Linked DNA regions of Neurospora crassa OR74A. The protein of the gene in region 1 interacts with the protein of each later gene in a pairwise test. Links are inferred from orthologs where the notes say so. Each region holds a gene or a part of one and is shown in the gene's direction. Other genes may lie near its edges.

Region 1 (4,364 bases):
CAGTACCGCTGTAGTACGAGACCTCACCGCCGTCAATGTACACGCGCCCGTTTAAAACCGCGGCTTTGGTTCGATTAGCCAGATGGTCATGATGCACTGAGAAAAAGACAATGACGGCAATGCTCACACGATTGATAGCCTCTGCGCAGAAATGTCGAGGGACTGATAGCACCGTTAACCTGTCGTGGAAGGATGATTGATTCATCTGCCTTGGGTAGGGTGATAGTGCTACCCGCCTGGCAAATCCACGGCTGTATTACACAGCACAGAAGGGAAGTCGACCTCCTGACCATGATGACTGATTTCAGAGGGCAACAAGAGAGAGAAGAGAAGAATGGGAGAGGAGGAAGAAATTTCTGAGCAAAATGCTACGCGTGTCAGCTTTCTACCCACGAAAAGGGCTAGCTCCCCTGAAGCGCCATCGAGACATGGTGGTAGGTGATGATCCTATAGGATCCGACTGTAATTATAAACGAGGTCGGGAGAGGTGAGCCACGGTAATATCACCGTGGACTGTCAATGGTGCCTGTTGACTGCTACCTGGCGGCTGCTCGGCCCCTTTCGTATCTTAGCGTACCCAAGGGTTGCATCAAGTCAGCACTACAGTAGGAGATAAGGCTGATCCCTACTCGTCGAGTAACAAGTAAAAGTGAGCCTGCTCAGAACAGAGAGGGTGATCACCGGAGAGCGGGCGTTTGTGCGATGCAGCACAGCCGCGAGTTTACCATCTGCTGGCTTGACTGACTGAGCCTGCGAGCGAGCGAGTTGTTTGATTGAGTTCCCCCGCGACAGGCGGATTCTTCAGGATAACCCGACGGTAACACAAAAAGGTATTTTGGTCGTGCTCGACACAGTGGGCTGAAACAGGATGGGGCGAGCAGGGTACGGTTCTTGAAGAACACCAAATGCTGGCATGAGTGGTAGGATCGACACAAGACCGAGCATTAGGACAGAGATGCGAGCAGGCTAATCAGAGCTAGCCAAAACTCAACGGCCAGCCGGCCACAGGTCGGAATCATGACTGGAGCCCAAGGGTAACGGAATCAAAGCTTGACGTCTCCCGAGGCGTCGATGGTGAGGGCAAGCATACGATGCTGAATAGGTACCTATTCAATTTCCATGTCGAGATGTCGCGATTCGCCAATGTTGTTTTTCATTCATGATCCGACGCCGCGGGAACATCACTGCACCGGGAAAACACTTGGTACATCCGACAATTTCGTGCTGACGGAACAAAGGTTGCAACTTGCAGCTTGGAGATGCAGTTTACCACGGCGGCCGCGGTGGCACGGTGAGGTAAGTGGTGATTGGCGTCAGCTCGTCGGCTACGCACCAGCTGGCAAGCAGCCTCCCGTCGTCTGTCAGCAGAGCTGCCCCCTGCCTTTCGATGGAGGGGAACGAGGTACCTGTCCTTTTCAACAACTGGAGGGGAGCAAATGACAACAGAGCCGCAAATCAGAAATTGATACTATCGCCTGTTGCAGTCGGCTTCCATTGCAGTAGAAGCGATTGGGGTATTTCTGAACATTTTGATCCCATCACCTTGTCGCAAACGACTTGACCGATTGCAGAAGAGCAGCGCGTCGTTAACTCTGTGATCTTGCGCAGGGCTTCCTGGACGACAGTCAACACTTTAAAGTGGACCTTGAATTTTCAGGAGCGTCGAAAAAGAGGTTCTTCAGTTCAGTTGTTGCATCTTCCTGGCGACACACCACAACTGGGATCCCGTCCATACCTTATTGCCTCCCCCCGCGGTATGTACTCGCACGGAGCCCGCTTTTCCCCCTAGCTTCCACATCTAGCCTCAGGTCCCGCCTGCCGCAAGACAGCTGCTGTGGACTGTGTGGTGGACGGTGGATGTCTCGAGTGTCTCGTGCGTTCCAGGTCTCGGAGCTAATGACACCTTGCACGTAGCCGCCCGACGACGTTGCCCGTTGCCCGCCGCCCGCCCCGTACCTATCTCTGGAGCTACCACCGCGTAGACGACGGATCATCCACATTAATTCCCTTAATCTTCTAATCCAACAAACCGCCGACACCACCATCACCCCTCTCCAGCTGTTCCTCTCTATCCCCGACTGCGACCATCGACCGAGGACGCCGCCGCCGACATCAACATGGATTACGAAGCCCTCAAGGAGCAATGGGGCGAGGTCGAGGACCGTGATGGCGTTCGTCTGAGCTGGAATGTCTTCCCCAGCACCCGCATGGTCAGTTCCGCTCTTTCGCATACTTGCTACTTCGCGTCACCCCTTTATCGCTGACCCTTTCTTCAGGAAGCTTCGAGACTCGTCGTCCCCATCGGCGCCCTTTATACCCCTCTCAAGGAGAAGCCCGACACGCCTCTGCTGCAGTTCGACCCCGTCAGTTGCAAGCAGCCCTGCCGCTCCGTGTTAAACCCCTACTGGTGAGCCATCTTCGTCGCCCCGACTTGTCGCGCCCATTGCTGATACCCTCGCCCAGTCAAGTCGATGTGCGCGCCCGCCTGTGGATCTGCCCCTTCTGTCTCTCGAGGAATCCTCTCCCGCCACACTACAAGGACATCACCGCAAATGCGATTCCACCCGAGCTGCACCCTTCCAACACTACCATCGAGTACAGGCTCTCGCGGCCCGCCCCCGCCCCTCCGATCTTCCTCTATGTCGTCGATACGTGCCAGGAGGAGGACAGCTTGGCTGCTCTCAAGGAGTCGCTCATCATGAGCTTGAGCCTATTGCCCGAGCACGCCCTTGTCGGCCTGATTACATACGGCACCATGGCCCAGGTCCACGAGATTGGCTATACCGAGTGCCCTAAATCATATGTTTTCCGCGGTAACAAGGAGTACGCGGCCAAGCAGGTCCAGGAGATGCTTGGGCTCGTACAACCTGCCATGCGTCCGGGCATGCCTATGCAACAGCCTGGCAGGCCCTTCCCGGCCGGCCCTGCCTCAAGATTCTTGCTTCCGGTCTCTCAGGCCGAGTTCCAGTTGACCAAGGCCATTGAGCAGCTTCAGAAGGATCCCTGGCCTGTTGCCGGTAACCTCAGAGCCTTGCGCTGCACCGGTGTTGCGTTGTCCGTAGCTGTTGGCCTGCTCGAAACGTCGTTCCAGAATGCCGGTGGTCGCATTATGCTCTTTGCTGGTGGTCCGGCCACTGAGGGACCTGGCATGGTTGTTGGCCCCGAGCTGAGGGAACCGATCCGCTCCCATCACGATATCGACCGTGACAACATCAAGTATTACAAGAAGGCACTCAAGGTACGTTCATCTTCAAGTTGTGGTGCAGGAAACAGTCTGTGTCATGCTAACATTTATTATAGTTCTACGACAACCTCGCTAAGCGAACGGCGCACAACGGCCACACTATTGACATTTTTGCCGGCTGTCTTGATCAAGTTGGTCTACTTGAAATGAAGGGTCTGTGCAACTCGACGGGTGGCCACATGATTCTGACGGACAGCTTCACCTCATCCATGTTCAAGCAGTCATTCGTCCGCATTTTCGAAAAGGACGCGGATGACAATCTGCTCATGGGCTTCAATGCGGTTTTGGAAGTACTTACAACGAAGGAACTCAAGGTTACTGGGTTGATTGGTCATGCAGTCTCTCTCAACAAAAAATCGACGTCCGTCGGCGAAACCGAGTGCGGCATAGGTAACACTTGCACGTGGAAGATGTGCGGTATCGACCCCAGCTCCAGCTACGGTATCTACTTCGAAATCGCCAACCAAGGCGGCCCGTCCCAGAACATGCAGAGTCCCCAAAAGGGAATGATGCAGTTCTTGACTTATTACCAGCACTCGTCTGGCCACTTCCACCTTCGGGTGACCACCATTGCCCGAAACCTCAGCGGCCCCGCCGGAGACCCGGCCATCGCGCAGTCATTTGACCAGGAGGCAGCAGCCGTGCTTATGTCGCGTATCGCTGTTTTCAAGGCGGAGGTTGACGATGGGCCTGATGTGCTCCGGTGGGTTGACCGCATGCTCATCAGGCTCTGCGCCAGATTTGCCGATTACCGCAAGGACGACCCGTCATCGTTCCGCTTGGAAAAGAACTTCACGCTGTACCCACAGTTCATGTTCCACTTGCGTAGGAGTCAGTTCTTGCAAGTCTTTAACAACTCTCCCGATGAGACCGCATTCTATCGGCACGTTCTCAACCATGAGGATGTTAGTAACTCGCTCATCATGATTCAACCAACGCTCGACTCCTACACCTTCGACCAAGAAGGCGGTGTCCCCGTTCTGCTCGACTCTACCTCCATTCAGCCTACCCACATCCTCCTGCTCGATACCTTCTTCCACATTCTGATCTTCCATGGTGAGACGATTGCGGAATGGAGAAAGGCCGGCTACCAAGACCAAGAGGGATACGAGAACTTTGC
Region 2 (4,214 bases), on another chromosome or scaffold:
TTTCTTTCCGGGTATCAACACAGAAACTCGCTTCTCTCCCCCCGACCCTTGCCGGGGAGAGTCCATTTGCTGAAGACGGACCAAGCAATGACCGATTTTATTGCGGTTTCGGTCCAGCCACATCTAGCCCCTCGAGGCCCTGCATAGGGTCATCAGGCGCAGTAGCAGCCAAACGATCCTCCTCACTGACGGCATTCTCAGCCAGCCATCCTTCCTGTGAGCCAGCGCATTAGTATGAGTCTAGGTATAAACTGTGATTCCCGATCATCCCCCATAGACGAAACTTACCTGCTCCCAAACGGCAGTCTTGGATCCCAACCCTTCTTTCGCGCTCTTAGGGATCTTTGCCGCCGAGACCCTGATTACTCTGCCAAACAGCTCGGACTGGTCCATGTTGTCAATGGCCTCTTTAGCGTCTTCTTCATCCTCGTACTCGACATAGGCGAAGCCCCTGTGCGGATCCGTTGAGTCGGGCTTCTCATTCTTGGGCAGCGAGATATCGGCGATCTCGCCAAAAGGAATGAAGGCGTCGTGAATGGTGGCTGTCGTCACGGCGGGTGCAAGACCGCGAATGTGGACGGTGGCTTTCCAGCGCGTAGTGTCTGTCATGATCGGTGTTGTTATGGAAACAATCAGTCACAGAAGTAAGACTTGAGACGCCTCTTGATGAAAGTGACTGTAGCTTCTGTGTACTTTCAGCCGAGGTTGAAGGTCTAACGTGTGTTGTGTTTTGACGAGGCTGGATGACTGCCGCAAAGAAAAGGATATCGTTGTTTTGATGAATTAAGTGTGATCCTTATCTTGGTGACGTCTCTTGTGAGTAATGACTGTCGATGTGTAGGTTATGTACAAAGATCATTCATGTGCTGGATGTCGTTAAGTAATAGCGAGTGAGACATGGGAGAAACGTTGAAGTTCGAAAAGTCGCGACCCCACTATCGTGACAGCGGGGAAGCTTGGGCCATCCTAGAAGTTCATGCACCAGGCGCTTGTACGTCATCAAGAAGGGGTTCTCCCACAGTTCGGTTTGAGGGCTTTAGGAAGCACAGGTAGAAATGGTGCTGATGATTCACACCAGAATATATAGCTATTTGGATATTGTTGAAGGATATGTGTATATATAGTCTAGTCACCACACCATGTGGATGGAAAGAGGTCACAGTTGTCAGTACGAATGTAGTGTAGGTTGAAAACGAAGGGTTAGGGTTTAACATCGATTGGCCCGGGCTCTCATCTTGCTGTTGCCCCTGAGCTGTGCCGTGTGGGTTGCATCAGCCTTGAAGCCAGCAAGAGGGAAAGTCCAGTGGTGCCAACGTCAGGGGCCGGGGGGGGCAGCTGTTATGTATCCGCAATCTGGCAACAATGGACGGGCAGACGGGAAGCTCACTGCTCCGAACGCCTCTAACAACACAGCAGCACTACCCGCCTCTACTCACTGTGACTTCGATCCCATCCATATCACAACCTCCCAACAGACCGACACGACACCGACCACAGACAGCCTCAATCGCGGAGGGGCTTTGGTCGTCGTCTTGTCTTGTTACTTCTTTTCATGTCCAACTGCACGACCTGACGATCTAGAGCTCTAATACCACCCACCCACCCCAACCTTAATTAATCCACGCCACCCGCACTCTCCTCCCACCCTTCGACCAAGGCGGCCAGCTTCAGCTTCCCCTGATTTCCCCTCTTTCGCCCACCGATTTACACCGCCCGCGTAGCCGCATCACCACCCGCGGCCGACATTCACATACAACATATAAACAATCATGGTCCGGTTGAGAGAGATCCCCCGGACTGCGGCCTTCGCTTGGTCGCCCGGCGCAAACCCCCTGCTCGTAACGGGTACCCGGTCAGGTGCCGTCGATGCCGACTTCTCAGACGAGACTAAGTTGGAGCTATGGGATCTCAAGTTGGACAGCCAGGAACAGGGCCTGGAGCTCCAGCCTATAGCTAGCATTACCGCAGAGTCCAGGTATGCGTGAGAGTTTCAACACATAGTTACCCTTCGGGCGCACTAACAGAGACGCATATAGGTTCTACGACATCGCATGGGGCCAGCCCAATGACGAACATCCCCGGGGAGTTATTGCCGGCGCCATGGAAAACGGCTCGTTGGATCTATGGGACGCCGAGAAGCTGATCGCCGGCGAGGACGCCCTCATCTCGCGCACCACCAAGCACACTGGTCCCATCAAGGCCCTACAGTTCAACCCTCTGAGGCCCCAAGTACTCGCTACTGCCGGTGCCAAGGGCGAGCTGTTCGTCTGGGATGTGAACGACACCTCGGCTCCCTTCCGCCTCGGCACCGCTGCCGCCCACGATATCGATTGCTTGGCCTGGAATCCCAAGGTCGCCAACATTCTGGCCACTGGTGGTGCAGGAGGCTTTGTTACCGTATGGGATCTCAAGACCAAGAAGGCATCTCTCACCTTGAACAACCATCGCAAGGCTGTCAGCGCCATTGCTTGGGATCCAGAGAACTCGACCAAGCTCCTGACGGCTTCATCCGATGATACCGCTCCCGTCATCCTGCTCTGGAACCTTCGCAACTCCCAAGCGCCAGAGAAGACGCTCCAAGGCCACGATCAGGGCATTTTGTCGCTTTCGTGGTGCCAGCAGGATGCAGGGTTGCTTCTTTCTTGCGGCAAGGACAACCGGACCCTGATTTGGAACCCTCAGACTGGAGAGCGTTATGGAGAGTTTCCTGAGGCTACCAACTGGACTTTTTACACCCGTTTCAACCCCCACAACCCGAATCTGTCGGCCACAGCATCCTTTGACGGCAAGATCGCTATCCAGACCCTCCAGAACACGAACCCCTCGGCGGCTCCCGCGGCCCAGAACAACCTTTCTGATGACGATTTCTTCTCAAAGGCCGCGTCCCAGCCGCAGGCGGCTTCCTTCTCTCTGCCCCGGGCACCCGCCTGGATCGAACGCCCCGTTGGCGTTTCCTTTGGCTTCGGTGGCAAGCTTGTCTTCTTCAACAAGGTGGAGACAGCTGCTGGCCAGAAGAGGTCTTCCAAGTTGCAGATCTCCTCTTTCTCCATCGACTCCGACATTGGCTCCGCAACCGACAAGTTCGAACAAGCCATTCAAAGCGGCGACATTGCGAGCATCTGCGAAGAGCATATCGAGAACGCCAAGACGGACGAGGAGAAGGCTGAGTGGCAGGTGATGCAGACCCTCAGTGAGTCTGATGGGCGGACCAAGATCATTGAGCGTCTTGGTTTCATCAAGGACGAGCCGGTCGAGGAGGCTAAGGAGGCCGAGTCACCCATGTCTCCTGAGCCGAAGCAGGAGGATTCTGCATCTCTGAAGCCTAACGGCGGAGAGGCCAAGAAGCATAGGCGTGTTGTAAGCATGTGGGGAGACGGCGACGATGGCGAAGATTTCCTGTCTGAGATCGCCGCTACCAAGGGAGCCAAGACCGACAACCCCTTTAACCTTCTGAGCGTGGGCAACACTCACCTGGAGGATCAGATCACCAGGGCCTTGATCCTGGGCAAGTTTGAGAAGGCGGTAGAGATCTGCTTGAAGGAGGAACGATGGTCGGATGCCTTCTTGATCGCCAACTGCGGCAGCAAGGAGCTTGTGGAAAAGGTTCAGACTGCTTATCTCCAACAGAAGAGAGGTAGCCCCAGCTATCTGCGGCTCATCAGCTCTGTTGTAGCCAAGAACCTGTGGGATATCGCCTACAACGCGGATCTTGCCGACTGGAAGGAGACCATGGTTACCCTTTGCACCTATGCTGATCCTTCCGAGTTCCCCGACCTCTGCGAGGCCCTGGGTGACCGCATCTTGGAGTCTGGTAACAGGAAGGATGCCTCTTTCTGCTACCTGATCGGCTCGAAGCTGGAGAAGGTTGTCGGTCTCTGGGTGGACGAGCTTCAGGAGACTGAGCAAGCTGCCTTGAATGAGGAGGCCGGTGATTCCACCTTCTCGGTCCATGCCAAGTCCCTTCAGCAGTTCATCGAGAAGGTGACCATCTTTCGCCATGTGACCAAGTTCAACGACAGCGAGACGAGTCTCACTGAGGGCTGGAAGCTGGCCGCTCTGTACGATAAATACCTCGAGTATGCTGACATTGCGGCTGCTCATGGCCAGTTGTCGGTTGCCCAGAAGTATCTCGATCTTCTGCCTACCAGCTACCCTCCTGCGGAGACAGCCCGCAACCGTGTCAGGCTTGCCACTCAGAAGGCTGGTGCTCAGAC
Region 3 (4,421 bases), on another chromosome or scaffold:
CCTTGGCGACCTCTTTTCTCCAGGCGTGCTCGAGAAGGTATGACAGCTCTAATACTCTGGCGCTCGAGTCGACGGGGATAAGGACGGTACCACCTCTGGCAATACACAGCTTGATCGACTCCATAAGTTGTTCGTCACGCTTGGCACGCGGTAGGGCGGCGTCTGGAGTACGACTGCTGCATACCAGGGCGGTTGGCTTGCGCAACTGCTCAATCACCTGTGTACCTCCGGCACCACCATGGTTTCCACCTAGCCAAGCAGCGCCGGCAAACACGTTCTCGCGGGCCTGGTTCCAGTCGACGGCGTAGACAATCGACTCCAAGCCATGCTGAATGTGCCATATGGTTCCTCCGAGGGTGCGGCCCGAGTTGTAGGCGGTAATGGTGAGTCCGTTCAGAGGCGGGGAGAAGGGCGACGGCAGCGGTTGATGTGGCTGAGAGTACTTTAACGGCTGGATTAGAGAAAAGTACTTTGTGATCTCTTCGGGAGTGGGTGGCTGGAGGAGGAAGGTGTTTTCGGCGGAGGCGGCCTGGGAGTATCCCGAGGCATACGACACTTCGGCGAGCGAGGCCGATGATATGGTGGTGGCGGCCAGGGGCGTCGAGGCATAGAGATCCTGTGTCAGGGTACGGCCGAGATCGATGACGGGGCGCGTCGCATAGACGGGAATGCGCTGGAAGGGTGGGAAGTGCTTGCAGCAGTGGGCGTAGGCGGCCAGATGGGGGACGGTGGCGTGGGTGAGGAGGATGAGGGACAGAGTCGGTGCTTGCTTGCCGAGCTCCTTGAGCTTTTCGACGTCAAAGGTCTCGTCCCAGCCGACATCGATCAGGATCTTGACGCCGCCGTCGAGCTCCAGCAGCGACTGGGAGGCTGACGAGTCGGAGAGGGCGCCCTGGAGCGGGCAGAAGCTGAACATTTTTCTTCAATTTGTTGTCGGACTACCTGTGGTGGTAAGGGTGGGAGCCGCCCAAGCACTCCATCAGACCGGAGGGTGTCTGAATGATGATGTAGGGTGTGGATGGAAATGTTGTTGTGATGATGTTTTGTTAGTGGAGTTTGTTGTTTGTTGTTTGGCGACGGGACGTTGAAAGCGCCTGCAAGAGGCTCTGTTGACCCATGCTGGATTGGCGGTTTACAGCCGAGAGATGCGGTTACAGGGCCCAATTGGACCATTCAGGGGGGGTTCCTAGGTAGGTAGTGCAGCACTACTTGTAAGTACTGTACCTCTTGAATGTATGAAAGATAGGTCACAGCTGGCTGCCAAGTGCCCATGTGATTGGCTGGCAGCCGGCAAAGCTTCCTCAAACCAAGGCGTTGTCGAACCTGCATTCCCTTGCTTCCACTTCTAGTGTACTTAGTACCTACTTTCAGGGGCAGCTTGGGGGGGCACATGCGCTGTTGTTCAGTGGACTGACACACCCGGCGATTGACACGGCAGCATCGCGGCCCCACTTTTCCATGGCTGGGCCCCGGGCGGGCTGCCTTCCACTTGCGCATGGAAACGAGAAAAGGACAGCTCGACATCCATGGTGACACTGGACTGGAGCGGTCCCGATAGAGCCAGATAACCTCCACCGGGGGAAACAACCACTGTCGCCCACTTTATATCCTCTGCCACTCCGATCCCCAGGCCTCAACCACTAACAACAAACTTCCACTTGGATGTACCTTAGTATGCGGTAGGTGATGCTTCGACGACATAGCTAGACACATCTGCTGCTGCTGGGCATGATCAACAACAACAATAACAACAAACTCCGATAACGACCGTCCTTCCACTTCTTGCTCTTCCCGACCTTGACCCGATCTCGATCAAGCTCCTTCGTCCGAAGAGGCGCCGCCGCCCCCCTATCTTCCATAATACCATAGCACACACGTATATACGACGACAGCAGCGACCACGAACAACAACACCACTCGACGACGACGACGACGACGACGACGACGACGGTGACATACTAGTCCTAATACAACCCTTCCCACAAACCAAACATGGCCGACTACACCATGTACCACGCCCTTGGTCAGGGGGAGACCCTCGACCCCAACGATCCCAACCGCACCACACAACCGGCGCCTCCCCAGTTCCAACCGCCAGTTGCCCCGAACCCATATCACCCTGGCGCCGAGTACAATGCTCCCGGTCAGCAGCAGCAGCAGCAGCAGCAGTATGGTCAGCAGTATGGTCAGCAGTACGGCCAGCAGTACGGCCAGCAGCAGTATGGTCAGGAATACGGCCATCAACAACAACAACAACAACAACAACAATACGGTGCCCCCTCTCCCTACGGCGCCCCTCCCGCGCATTCTCCCGTGTCGCCAATGGATGATGTAGGCTTGGCTGCGCAAATGGGTGGCATGTCTTTGGGTGCTGGAGCTGGTGCCGCCGATCACCACGGAAGAAAGAAAAAGAAGGACCGTCATGCTTTCCACACAGTCGAGGCCCCCGCCGGCTCGTCCCAGCCCTTCAACGGCATGCCCCCCGCCGGGATACCTGCAACCCAGTTCCTCAACGCCGACCCCTCCCTCGCCGGCAGGATACCAGGTCCGGGCCATGGCCAGTTCCCCATGCCCGCCAGCCCAGCTTTCGGCCCCGTCCCAACCTCTGCCGCCGACTTCGCCGCAAGGGACGCTACCCAGGGTGTTGGCTCCGGTGTCTTTGCTGCCGGCGGTCCTCAGGGCGGCAAGCCTTCGCCAGACGATACCCCCAGCGTGCCCCTTTCTCGCGACGCCGTCCAGCCTTACTTCCACACCAACGTATACCCAACCTTTGAGCGCCTCGTCCCACCCCCGGCTGTCACGTCCTTCGTTGCCCTCGACCAGGGCAACTCGTCGCCCAAGTTTGCCCGTCTCACCATGACCAACCTGCCGGCAAGCGCAGAGGGTCTCAAGAGCACCGGCTTGCCCCTGGGTCTTCTTCTCCAGCCCCTGGCCGAGACCCAGCCTGGCGAGCTGCCCATCCCCGTCCTGGACTTTGGCGAACAGGGCCCGCCACGCTGCCACAGGTGCAGAGCTTACATGAACCCCTTCATGATGTTCAAGGCCGGCGGCAACAAGTTCGTCTGCAACCTTTGTACCTATGCTAATGATACCCCTCCCGAGTACTTTTGCGCTCTTAGCCCCCAGGGCGTCCGCGTTGATCGCGACCAGCGCCCCGAGCTGACCCGCGGAACCGTCGAATTTGTTGTTCCCAAGGAGTACTGGACCAAGGAACCCGTCGGCATGCGCTACCTCTTCGTTATTGATGTTACCCAAGAGTCTTACAACAAGGGCTTCCTCGAGTCTTTCTGCGAAGGCATCTTGAGTGCTCTGTACGGTGGCTCGGAGGAAGGCGAGGACCAGGACGAGACCGGAGAGCCAAAGAGGAAGATTCCCGCTGGTGCCAAGGTTGGCTTCGTCACCTTCGACCAGGAGATTCACTTCTACAATGTCAGCCCCGCGCTCGAGCAGGCTCAGATGATTGTGATGCCCGACATCGAGGACCCCTTCCTGCCCCTGAGCGATGGTCTCTTTGTGGACCCCTACGAGTCCAAGGCTGTCATTAGTTCGCTCTTGACGCGCTTGCCCCAGATGTTCTCCAACATCAAGAACCCTGAGCCAGCCCTGCTGTCCGCACTGAACTCGGCTGTTGCTGCGCTTGAGAAGACGGGCGGCAAGGTCTTTTGCTCCCTTGCGGCTTTGCCCACTTGGGGTCCTGGCCGTCTCTTTATGAGGGACGACGGCAAGCACCCAGGTGGAGAGCCTGACAAGAAGCTCTTCACTACCGAGCACCCTGGCTGGAGGAAGTTGGCCGAAAAGATGGTTTCTTTGGGTGTTGGTGCCGATTTCTTCATGGCTTCGCCATCTGGCGGCTACTTGGATATTGCTACGATTGGCCATGTCTCTTCGACAACCGGTGGCGAGACCTTCTTCTACCCCAACTTTGTCGTCCAGCGAGATAGCACCAAGCTCTCCTTGGAGATCCACCACGCAGTCAGGCGCGAGACGGGCTACGCGGCCCTTATGAAGGTCCGCTGCTCCAACGGCCTCCAAGTGAACGCCTACCACGGCAACTTCATCCAGCACACCTTTGGCGCCGACCTCGAAATTGGCGTCATCGACGCTGACAAGGCTCTGGCCGTCACCTTTGGCTACGACGGCAAGCTCGACTCCAAGCTGGACGCACACTTCCAAGCCGCCTTGCTCTACACCACCGCTTCGGGCCAGCGTCGCGTGCGCTGCATCAACGTCATCGCCGGCGTCTCTGACCTAGCGCGCGACTGCATGAAGTATATCGACCAGGACGCCATCGTCTCGATCCTGGCCAAGGAAGCCAGCACAAAGCTCTCCACCACCAGCGCCAACCTCAAGGAAGTCCGCTCCTCTCTCACGGAAAAGACCATCGACATCCTTGCCCTCTACCGCAAGAACCACCTCGCCGT

The links.
Region 2: the proteins of NCU01318 (region 1) and NCU06738 interact in binary tests that used the Saccharomyces cerevisiae proteins (3 or more experiments, as listed by UniProt). The link is inferred for Neurospora crassa OR74A from reciprocal best matches to the Saccharomyces cerevisiae genes SEC23 and SEC31.
Region 3: the proteins of NCU01318 (region 1) and NCU06868 interact in binary tests that used the Saccharomyces cerevisiae proteins (3 or more experiments, as listed by UniProt). The link is inferred for Neurospora crassa OR74A from reciprocal best matches to the Saccharomyces cerevisiae genes SEC23 and SFB3.

The regions. Positions count from the first base shown.
Region 1 is NC_026505.1:3,643,730-3,648,093, reverse strand, and holds the start of NCU01318 (protein transporter sec-23), read left to right. Parts: upstream 1-1,437; 5' UTR 1,438-1,754; intron 1,755-1,914; 5' UTR 1,915-2,117; coding exon 2,118-2,210; intron 2,211-2,276; coding exon 2,277-2,407; intron 2,408-2,463; coding exon 2,464-3,238; intron 3,239-3,300; coding exon 3,301-4,364. Other genes in the region: NCU01319 (hypothetical protein), read right to left, coding at 1-63, 128-293. UniProt on the Saccharomyces cerevisiae protein: Component of the coat protein complex II (COPII) which promotes the formation of transport vesicles from the endoplasmic reticulum (ER).
Region 2 is NC_026502.1:2,091,263-2,095,476, forward strand, and holds the start of NCU06738 (protein transporter sec-31), read left to right. Parts: upstream 1-1,346; 5' UTR 1,347-1,769; coding exon 1,770-1,975; intron 1,976-2,036; coding exon 2,037-4,214. Other genes in the region: NCU06739 (peptidyl prolyl cis-trans isomerase Cyclophilin), read right to left, coding at 98-214, 289-609. UniProt on the Saccharomyces cerevisiae protein: Component of the coat protein complex II (COPII) which promotes the formation of transport vesicles from the endoplasmic reticulum (ER).
Region 3 is NC_026507.1:587,761-592,181, reverse strand, and holds the start of NCU06868 (Sec23/Sec24 family protein), read left to right. Parts: upstream 1-1,559; 5' UTR 1,560-1,992; coding exon 1,993-4,421. Other genes in the region: NCU06869 (cleavage and polyadenylylation specificity factor), read right to left, coding at 1-916. UniProt on the Saccharomyces cerevisiae protein: Component of the COPII coat, that covers ER-derived vesicles involved in transport from the endoplasmic reticulum to the Golgi apparatus.